Linked DNA regions of Arabidopsis thaliana. The protein of the gene in region 2 interacts with the protein of the main gene of each other region in a pairwise test. Each region holds a gene or a part of one and is shown on either strand. Other genes may lie near its edges. The genes, in order: HYL1 and AT1G50670.

What was found.
Region 1: the proteins of AT1G50670 (region 2) and HYL1 interact in binary tests that used the Arabidopsis thaliana proteins (3 or more experiments, as listed by UniProt).

Annotation. Positions count from the first base shown.
Region 1 is NC_003070.9:3,137,024-3,142,156, forward strand, and holds HYL1 (dsRNA-binding domain-like superfamily protein), read right to left. Parts: upstream 3,331-5,133; 5' UTR 3,096-3,330; coding exon 3,071-3,095; intron 2,575-3,070; coding exon 2,312-2,574; intron 1,909-2,311; coding exon 937-1,908; 3' UTR 626-936; downstream 1-625. Other genes in the region: AT1G09690 (Translation protein SH3-like family protein), read right to left, coding at 171-407; AT1G09710 (Homeodomain-like superfamily protein), read left to right, coding at 4,096-4,175, 4,271-4,460, 4,722-4,808, 5,007-5,133. UniProt on the Arabidopsis thaliana protein: Double-stranded RNA-binding protein involved in RNA-mediated post-transcriptional gene silencing (PTGS).
Region 2 is NC_003070.9:18,774,227-18,779,195, forward strand, and holds AT1G50670 (OTU-like cysteine protease family protein), read right to left. Parts: upstream 2,787-4,969; 5' UTR 2,560-2,786; intron 2,344-2,559; 5' UTR 2,327-2,343; coding exon 2,262-2,326; intron 2,180-2,261; coding exon 2,134-2,179; intron 1,889-2,133; coding exon 1,780-1,888; intron 1,607-1,779; coding exon 1,515-1,606; intron 1,436-1,514; coding exon 1,373-1,435; intron 1,279-1,372; coding exon 1,160-1,278; intron 1,073-1,159; coding exon 997-1,072; intron 917-996; coding exon 860-916; 3' UTR 579-859; downstream 1-578. Other genes in the region: AT1G50660 (actin cytoskeleton-regulatory complex pan-like protein), read left to right, coding at 1-159; AT1G50680 (AP2/B3 transcription factor family protein), read right to left, coding at 3,375-4,388. UniProt on the Arabidopsis thaliana protein: Hydrolase that can remove conjugated ubiquitin from proteins in vitro and may therefore play an important regulatory role at the level of protein turnover by preventing degradation.

The DNA.
Region 1 (5,133 bases), about 16 Mb from region 2:
AAAATCTGAGCTCAATTGTAGCATAGAAGAAGATTTACATTCCACAAACCTATACTCAATCACACATTTCTACATCAAAGCAATAGATCAACAATCCAAATAGCACACTAAGAAGCTCAAATCCTAATTCAATGACACAAAAGCTGAAGAGATAGGAGAGTTCATCAGACCTGTTTGTTGACTTCAACACCGACGGCGCGTTTAGTGACGTTCCAGATACGACCAGTACGACCGTGGTAGAACTTGTGAGGCATACCCTTGTGGATCGCACCATTCACCTTCACATCGACGTAATCGCCGACCTTGAAGGTTCTCAGGTAAGTCGAGAGTGGAATGTAACCCTTCTTCCTGAATGGCCTCGCGAACAGATCCCTCGTTCTCGCCCGAACTCCATGACCCGCTGGCATTTTTCCTCCTCGTGCGACAACTAAAACCCTAGATCGCCGAAGAAATGAAATGAGGAAGGCAGAGTGTATTTATATCTCTGTTTTGAGATTAGGGTTTCGTAAACGGACCTGTTGGGTCAGCAAGTTGGGCTTCTGTTTTTTAGAACCAGCCCACAAATAATCAAGAGTGAGGGTAATGAACCTTCTATTGGACTTTTGTTTTTTAGAACCAGCCCACAAATAATGAAGAGTGAGGGTAATGGACCTTCTGTTGGGTTTGTGTTTTTATAACCGGCCCACAAATAATGAAGTTTGAGAGTAATTTTCATTTATATGTAGATATGAAGCTTCTGTTTTGCAACCCCACATTACTTTATTCGAATGACTCAATCGACCACCAAATTGTACCAATCATATTAGTTTTGATTTTCCGCTCAAATATTACTTCTCTTCAATCTGTGAATTACTACTAGACTAGATAGGAATCACAAAATGGCTACGTAACCATATAGTAACTATGACAAACTCACAAGACTCCATCTTGACACTGTTATGCGTGGCTTGCTTCTGTCTCCACACTCCCAAATGCTGCCTCCTTTAACCCGCTCATGCATGAAGAAGATTCCAGATTTGGCGTTGTCTCAATTTTCTCTGTCTCCACACTCCCAAATGCTGCCTCCTTTAACCCGTTCATGCATGAAGGAGGTTCCAGATTTGGCGTTGTCTCAATTTTCTCTGTCTCCACACTCCCAAATGCTGCCTCCTTTAACCCGTTCATGCATGAAGAAGGTTCCAGATTTGGCGTTGTCTCAATTTTCTCTGTCTCCACACTCCCAAATGCTGCCTCCTTTAACCCGTTCATGCATGAAGGAGGTTCCAGATTTGGCGTTGTCTCAATTTTCTCTGTCTCCACACTCCCAAATGCTGCCTCCTTTAACCCGTTCATGCATGAAGGAGGTTCCAGATTTGGCGTTGTCTCAATTTTCTCTGTCTCCACACTCCCAAATGCTGCCTCCTTTAACCCGTTCATGCATGAAGAAGGTTCCAGATTTGGCGTTGTCTCAATTTTCTCTGACTGATCGTTTTGACAATGATCAGTAGGTTGAGGAGGGATGATAATATCTTCAGGATTTTTAGCTACTGTGCGTTTTCCTTTCTGAGCTTTCTTCTTGAACTGAGCCTTCCTGGCTTTAAGAGTCTTGACGGTTTCTTTAAGCGGGATAGCTGCCTGTATTGTCTTCTTCTCACAAGGAAGTACAGTAAGCTGAGTGTTGTAGTTGGCAAGGTTGTTTTTAGTGTCTGACTGGATCGCTAAAAGAGCAGTTCTCCCAGCGCTAATCTCAGCATCTTTTTTAGTTCTTGTTGCAGCTCCTGTGTACTTTATGCCTCCAATCTCTACAGTACATGTGAATTGTGTAACTCTCCCAAGAGTTTCGACCTTCTGGCACTGATACAATGGAATCGCGTAATTCATCTTTTGAGCGTATTCTTGAAGTAGGTTCTTGCATAATCCCGTTTCGTGCTGCATTAATAAGCCATTCAAAGTTAGACAAGAGCAATAACTTACAGAAACAGCCTAAGAATCTTCCCTCTAGAAGTTGGCAATACACATAAATCCGATAAGACAGAAGACACTTTATTAATGAGTGGATTCTTTAAACTCTTGAATCTCGATCATTGTCCAACCAAGAGCCTAGACAAATACAGAATGCCCCCTAACGTATTCTCACAGCTCCCCTTTAAACCTTCAACTCTGAAACTAACCATGAGCTTCCCTTTAAACCTTCAACGCTCAAACTAAGCATAAGGACTACTGCTGAGATGGCAAAGCTACAATTCGCTGCTAAACCCCTAGGCTAGGTTCAATAGTTTTGCAGTGAACTTAACAATAATCACGAGCGAAATAAGAAAGATGAGGTGCTTACAACAGGTTGTGAAACACATTGGCTTAGCTCACTGGATTTTGCTAATTCCCGGAGAGCAACCTCGGCAGCTGATTGCTCTGCAGCCTTACGATTGAAGAATCCAGGCAAAGAATTATATCTGACACCATCCAGTATCACAGTCGATTGAAATAAAGATTTGTGTGAAGGGCCTTCTTTAACGATCTCATAAACAGGCGTTGGGAGCTTGTACTTCTGAGCATACTCCTGCAACCGACTTTTGAAAACATAGCAATTGGAAACACCTGAGCAGGAAAAAAACTTCAAAATGAGGCAAAAGATAAAACAGAAACAGTGATGATGCTATCCACTACAGCATAAATTGCAAATAAACTCAAAACGACAACAGGGAACAGCAGTGAACGAGTTCTGAATAAAGCTGACGACTTTCACAAAGAAACTATACTTATCCAAAAGGGGAGAGACAGTTTTAAACCAAGCTTCTATGTTCCCTAACAAATTGAGTCAATAAATCATCATCTCAAAAGAGTAAACTTGCCAATTGCCAGAGAGATCTACGCTTAAACCCACAAGGGACAGATACACTTGTAAATTCTAACTAATCAAAACACTGCAATCCAATTTCCAAGAAGAAAGAAGTGAGTAAAGAACAGAAGAAAGGGGAAAAAGCATGATCTGGTTTCAAAATTAAAACCCGGAAAAAACAACCCATGAATGTTGAATTAGAGATAATGCAGACATGATGGTGAAGAAGAAGAAGAAGAAGAAGAAGTAATTCACCAGAGGAAACATCAGTGGAGGTCATTTTCACGAGCAGAATGTAGCTGAAGAGACGAATAATAGGTTAGTAGGGCACGGCGAAGAGCAAGAAAGAAACGTGCTGCTGCTGCGAAGAAGCAGAGAGAGAGAGATGATTCTTCTTCACCAAAAACCCTCTCCCCTCGACTTCCTCCTCTTTACTGATTTTTATTTTTGTTTTTTTTTCACAAGGGCAAACGAAAGAAGGTGGTTCTTAATTGTTATGTTACAAATGTTAATATTGAATTTAATTTCAAACCTTTATAAATTATATTATATTCCATAAATTTACCTTTTTGGTCAAATTTTCCATAAATATAATTTACTTGTGAATATTATATGAAAGCAAAATGTTTTTATCTTTGAAATATTTAATTTAATTAAAAAACTAATTACATATAGCCTAATTTCGTATTTCATATGTAGTTAACTAATGTATATATCCACAATTGATTAACCTTTTTATGGCTAACTTTATTCACTAGTAATCCCTTTGTTATATTCACACAGTTTTTGTATTCACAAATAATTAATTTGTTCTCCAAGTAAACATCAATAATGATAATAACCGTTTAATAAAAAATAAAAACAATTTGAGCCCATATTTGAGCCCACTTGAGCCTATGTCCCTTAACAGAAAAGAAAAATATTTGAGCCCATATTTGAGCCCACTTGATCCTATATCCCTTTACCAGAAAAGAAAAATATTTGAGCCCATACTTTTCGCTTCTGATAAGCGTAGAATAATAATAGTCGAATTTACCACCTTCCTTTTCGTTCCTTTTTTTTCTTCTCTCTTCCGAAACACCTCTGCCACGCGAGTACTCTCCACGCTCTTCGACAGTCGTGACCATCTTCTTCTCCGATCGTCTTCACCGGTTTTCTTGGGCATTCCCTCGTGCGTAAGTCTCTGTCGTTTCGTTTCGTCTATAACTCCCTCGGGTTTTGGTGAAATTTGATTCCTTTGTCCTGTTCTCTGCAGAATTGTTGCAATAAATACGACGAAGATGGTTGCTAATAATAATACTAGTAGCAATCGCAGGAAGAGAATCATTACTGAAGGCGACATCGCCACTCTTTTGCTGAGGTAAAAATATCTCCTTTTTTTGTTTTCTCTTTCCGAAAACGTTAGTGGATTTGGGTTTAGTCAGTGTGGCCGGGGTTTTTGATTTATTGACGCAGATATGATATGGAGACGATACTGAGAATGCTACAGGAGATATCTTATTGTTCCGAAACCAAGATGGACTGGAATGCGTTGGTGAAGAAGACCACTACCGGAATTACTAATGCTAGAGAGTACCAGTTGCTATGGCGTCATCTTTCTTATCGGCATCCTCTCCTCCCTGTGGAAGATGATGCTCTACCTCTGGTACTTATTCTGTCTCTCCTCTTTCCACTTTTGATGAATTGTAAAAGACTCAAGTTTATGTTGTAGAGTTAGTTAGTTTTCTTCAATAAAAACTCACTACTACTTTGTGTTATCAGTATCATCTAGAAGTGAGTGTGATGAAATACTAGTTTATGTTCTATGTGGCAGTGGATACTAAAACTTCTTGGTAGCATTAGGGATCGATGAGTGTCTCTCGCTGGTGTAGTTTACAGATTTTTTAAACGAAAGTTGCCTGTGCAGGACGACGATAGTGACATGGAGTGCGAATTGGAAGCTTCTCCTGCAGTCAGCCATGAAGCATCAGTGGAGGCTATTGCACATGTCAAAGTAAGAACGGAATCATAGATTTCATTCCCTTGACAGAATTTCAGAATCTGAAGTCCCTAGGCTCTATTCAGGATAACACCTTGCTGTTTTCTTAATGATTAGTGTGTTGGTTACTTGTTCTGCATATCAATCTGTGCTTATCCAGAGTTCCCATTTTATCCAAATATCATTAAGTTTTCGTTTCTCTTGTATTCCCAGGTGATGGCTGCTTCATATGTTCTAAGTGAGTCTGATATACTCGACGATTCAACAGTTGAGGCTCCCTTGACTATAAACATACCTTATGCTTTGCCTGAGGGTTCTCAGGAACCATCAGAGTCTCCTT
Region 2 (4,969 bases):
GAATCTGCAAATCATCCTCATGTAAACCGAGGAGGAATGAAAGGTTGCATAGAATGGCCTAGAGGTGCACAGAAGAGTAGTTTGAAGTCAAAACTCATTGAAGCACGAATCGAAAGCCAAAAGGTTCAGTTAAAGCATGTCCTTAAACAGAGGATTTAGGAGCCAAACCGTTTTTGGTCACAGCTGAACCAGATCTTAATACCCGGGACACTGCGTGCGGTTCTCTAATCTTTCACCGGTTTCAGATGCTGTATGATGTAATAATGTTCCGGGAAAGCAGTCGGGACCAGCAAGCAGCTTAGATCGGGGTTTAGATTTATGTCATTGGTCATTAGCAATTAAGCAATGTGTACTCTAATATCATTATCTCATTATGGAAGAAAAACCTTTAGTAGAGTAAGAGACGCTAATGTTAGAGACTTGTTCATCAATTTATATAATATAGTTACTAGTTTCCGGCAAACTCACCAAATCGTTTTGTTATGTAATGCTCCAATTTGGATTATTGATATTACAGTTCCTGTTTTGGTTAGACAATCTTGTAACGATGTAAGAAACAACATAGCAAATTGTGGAAAATAAATAAAAGCAATACTATCCACATATTGGAAATTTTTGGTTTTAACACAGAGCAAATGAATCCAAAGAAGTTCATTTTTTTCATGGCATTATTGGTGAGACAACAATGATCCTCCTCATAAAGAGGTCATCACTAGAGTAAAGAACACAACACAAGATAATTGCACAACAGACTGAATTTGTATTGTTGACAACATAAAATTAAAATTAAGCACATCATTTTCGTGGTTTACTTTCTTGTTTCTTGGAACTGTATAAAAGAATCAAATCAATCATTCTCTTATTTGTATTCTTGAAAATTAACATGACCAGTTGCTTGAGCATGTTCCACAGCTTCCTGTTTCAAGTTCAAAATTCAAGCTCTGTCTGATCTATGAAATAATATCAAATGAAGAATTAAGGAGACAAAGCAATGACCTTTTGTCCAATAACTCCAATTTGGCAAACACCGCAACGTAGAGTGAAGTTTGCAGTATCTGTGTAACTCCTTTTCCTGAAACAGATAAACCAAATCACAGGCTTATTCTTGTTTCCTTCAGCCACATTCAACAAAACTATGGTTGACACTTATATATATTACCTTTGTTGGTCCTTCACTAGATTCAAAGCAAGCCCTTCAATTGATCCTATGGATCTATCTTTACCAACTGGATATATAGTCATATCAAAATCTTCCTCGGCCCCTTCAAATGGAGACAGCTGGAATATTGCAGCAATGAAATTATAATTAAGCCACCAGTTTTGGACCTTTGATTACCAAGTTATTTTTTCAATGGAGGATATATCAACTTACAGCAAGAGCATCGTAATGAAGACCGTCATAGATCAGCATAACTCTTTCGTCGTAGTTTCTCGTCTACAAAAGGGAAAAGTCCTGTCTAATACATTCCAAGGTTTTTTCTTCAGAATTTGTATGTTGGAAATGTGATGATTACCTGTCCATACAAGTCACATCGACTAGTTTGAATGTCGTAAGCTGCAATTTCTCGACCATAATAATCTGCTAATATCGAAAGCTCAATCGCACCTACACAAAGCAAAAGAAAACGGAAAGACACTATCAATTCAAAATGATGAACCGTACAAACATTATTAGCCATGAAAAATCATGAACAAGAGACATTTACCAACATATCTCGCCTGATACCTATAACTTAATCAATTATGGAGAATCATGTTTTACAATCTAGGAAAATATACCTCCCCACTTGTCTGGATTGAGAATCCAAGCACAATATTCTTCATTGAGCTTCCCTAGAAATGCTTCATTATATTTCTCCTTGTTGCTTGCAACTGCTGCTGCTATCACCTTATCAAGATAGCACCAAGCTAAATGTCTCAGAATTGTTTCTATTATACTCGTGAAATACTCAATTCATGTAGTAACATTCCTTCTATTCGCTATATTAAAATGGACTATATAGAACGGTATCAGTAACTTCTAAGCTTAAATACCTTATGAAGCTGATAAGCTACGAAGTAAAAGAAGCTAAACGTTGAATGAAGCTGAAGTAACTTCAACAGATCAAAGAATGCTAAAAGATATGAACAAACCTGTCTGAGCTCAGGAGCTTTGTTTTTGTCCTTGTCCATGACATAACTGTAGAAGAGAAACCTCAAAGATAAAGAAACACAAGCCTCAAAAACATTCTTCTTGACTTAAAAAAAAAGCTTATTATTACCCGATTGCATTGAAGAGACAACTGTTATCAGATGGTATAACTCTTCTCACAATGATTCCTTCCATGTTATTATAATCTCAAACTATTTGCATTCCAAAAAAAAAAACTCAATTAATCAAGAATTTGTCCTAATCCCAATCTTAAAAAGATGATGAAGAGTGTTGATCCGATCTAATTCTAAGAATCGATTGGAACCAAATCAGATCCATAAGCAAAAGCATCATCATCAAAACAACAAGAACTATAAAGGATAAATTTTTTGCAAAAGTAAAGTATAAAGATTGATTCTTGAGAATACCCAGATGAAGATGAACACCAAACGCGATGAAAGCAAACAACTTTTGAATATAAAACAAAGTTGGGTTCTTGGTTTTGAAGGAATAGACTAGAGAGAAACAAAATCCAGAAATGGGAAGATAAAACTCAAAATTCCAACCTAAAAGGGAAGATGAAAATTGGATCCACCAAAACCCAATGTGAATGAAAAGGAAAGTTAGATAAGAAGAACTCACCGTTGGGCAAGAGATCTGATTTTTGGAATTCAAAAAAAAAGAACTAAATAAAAATCGTAATTATGTTCAAAAACAAAAAAATGTAATTTTGCGTTGGAACAAAGAAAAATATTATAATCTTTTTTACTTTTTGTTGGATGTTGTTAAATAGAATTTCTCTAAAATAAATTTTCAGTTGATTTTACATTTATTTTTATAAAATTATTCAAATTTATTAAGTTCATAAATAATCTTTAGTAAGTTTTATTTGTGACATTTTTTTTTTCTTTTCATTTTTTACTCTTTTATTCTTGAGAAATTGATAAAAACTAATTGACCAGTTAACAAATACTATTGATAAGATTTTTTGGTTAAGTCTTTCTTCTTATAAGGCCAAAAGCTTCTGAGCTTGTCATGAGTAAACTAGCAATCTTGGTGGTTATGCATTGCGAGTAGCTCACTTTGATAATGGTTATCGAAATCTAAACCAGTAACGAAGCATTGAGAAAATCATTTAGTAAACCAATCTCTAGTTAAGTAAAACAATTTTGTTAATAAAAATTCATGAGGTACAAGTAAAACAAGTTCTAGTTGAAGTAAGAAACTTTTAAAGAAAAATTCCCTAAGGACATTCGATCCTTACACCAAACAGCATAAACCCTCCTTTGTTCTCCTCTGATTTGGTTTCTTTATCTTCTAACATGGAGCTAACCAAGTTTTCTGTTTTCTTTACTTGCACTGAACTGTCATGAACCGTCATACTTACTTCCTCAGCTACCACGGAACCGTTGTCTGAAAAGCAATGAACATCGATCATCAAGAAGTTCTTTCTTTGACCTTCTAATGTCTTCACATTGTTCGGGACATCGCAAGTGTAGAAGGCAATAACATCCTTCTCCTTGAGATTCTTCTCCTTCACGAAACTATTCCATCCTCTGGTGAAGACAAAGCTCTGGCTACTTTTCCAGTAACAATACCTAAACTTCCATTGTCTCATTGCTCTGTCGTAAAACACAACCTCCACATCTTCCACAGATCCTACTATTTCACCCTCTTCTTTCTCGCTTTGATCAGCGCTTATGAAAGGCATATACTTCACTGCATACTTTTTAGGTATCACAAGCCTATTTAGTTTCCCTACATCGCTCGGTGTCAATTCCTTCTGAAAAAGCTGTGTGCAAGAAAAACACTTGTCTGATTCTTGATTCACTTCTCCTCGGGCTTGTTTTGGTCCCCCGATGTTGATACTCGCAACAATCTGAGATCTGATTCTGAGAAAATCTCTGAATTTGTGTTGGTACGAACCGTCTCTGATCATGTTCAACACAGTCTCTGTTGTGTAGCAATTTTGAAAGTCTGGTTCGTTGAGAGTGATTGTAGACCAAGGGAAGTTCCGGTGCGAGTTAGCGTCAAAGCTTCGGAGTTTGATAGATGCACTATCGTAAGCCGTGGCGGCTTCATCAGCGGATTTGAAAGTTCCAAGCCAAATCCTTTTGTGGTCTGCGTAAATCTGGGCACCCCAATGACCGTTCTGTTGCTGAACGACTCCTTTGTACTTGACATTGCCAGAAGCCACAACCGTCTTTGGTGAAGACGAAACCACTAGGGCGTTTTCTGGTTCGTCATCAAGTCTCATGCGTTTCTTGAGAGGCAAGAAAGAGTCGCTTGAACCTGAAGACACTGAAGTCTCCGTCTTTGCGTCGTCGATGTTGTTCATTAGAATTCAAGAAACAGAGTAGTAGAAAGATACGAGAGACAGAGAAAGAGAAGCGAAACAAAACGATGAAGAAATATGAGGAACAGAGAGAGAACTATATAAAGAGAGCAAATCGTGGGAGCAAATTGTGTTTCTTAATCTTGTTGTTTCTTGCGGTGCTTGAGTATTTATCAAGTTATCATTTTCCATTTTCTATTTGTTGTAGTTTCTATAATTTAGCTATGAGAGAAAATTATGGAAAGTATTGAAATTAAAGAATTTCCATGTTTCGTCGGTTCATTAATTACTTGATATATCTGATTGGATAAAAAATGGAAATACGTGAGAGAGCCGCTGGAAAATATCATCAAGTAACTTATTAGGGTTTTATGTTTACCCTAATTTTATCATTCATTAACAAAACGTTTCTCATCTCATGTGGTTGAGTATTTTTTTTATTTCTTCATTATTATTTGTTTTCCAATAAGTCAACTAAAAACAAAAGAAAAATTAACAAAAAT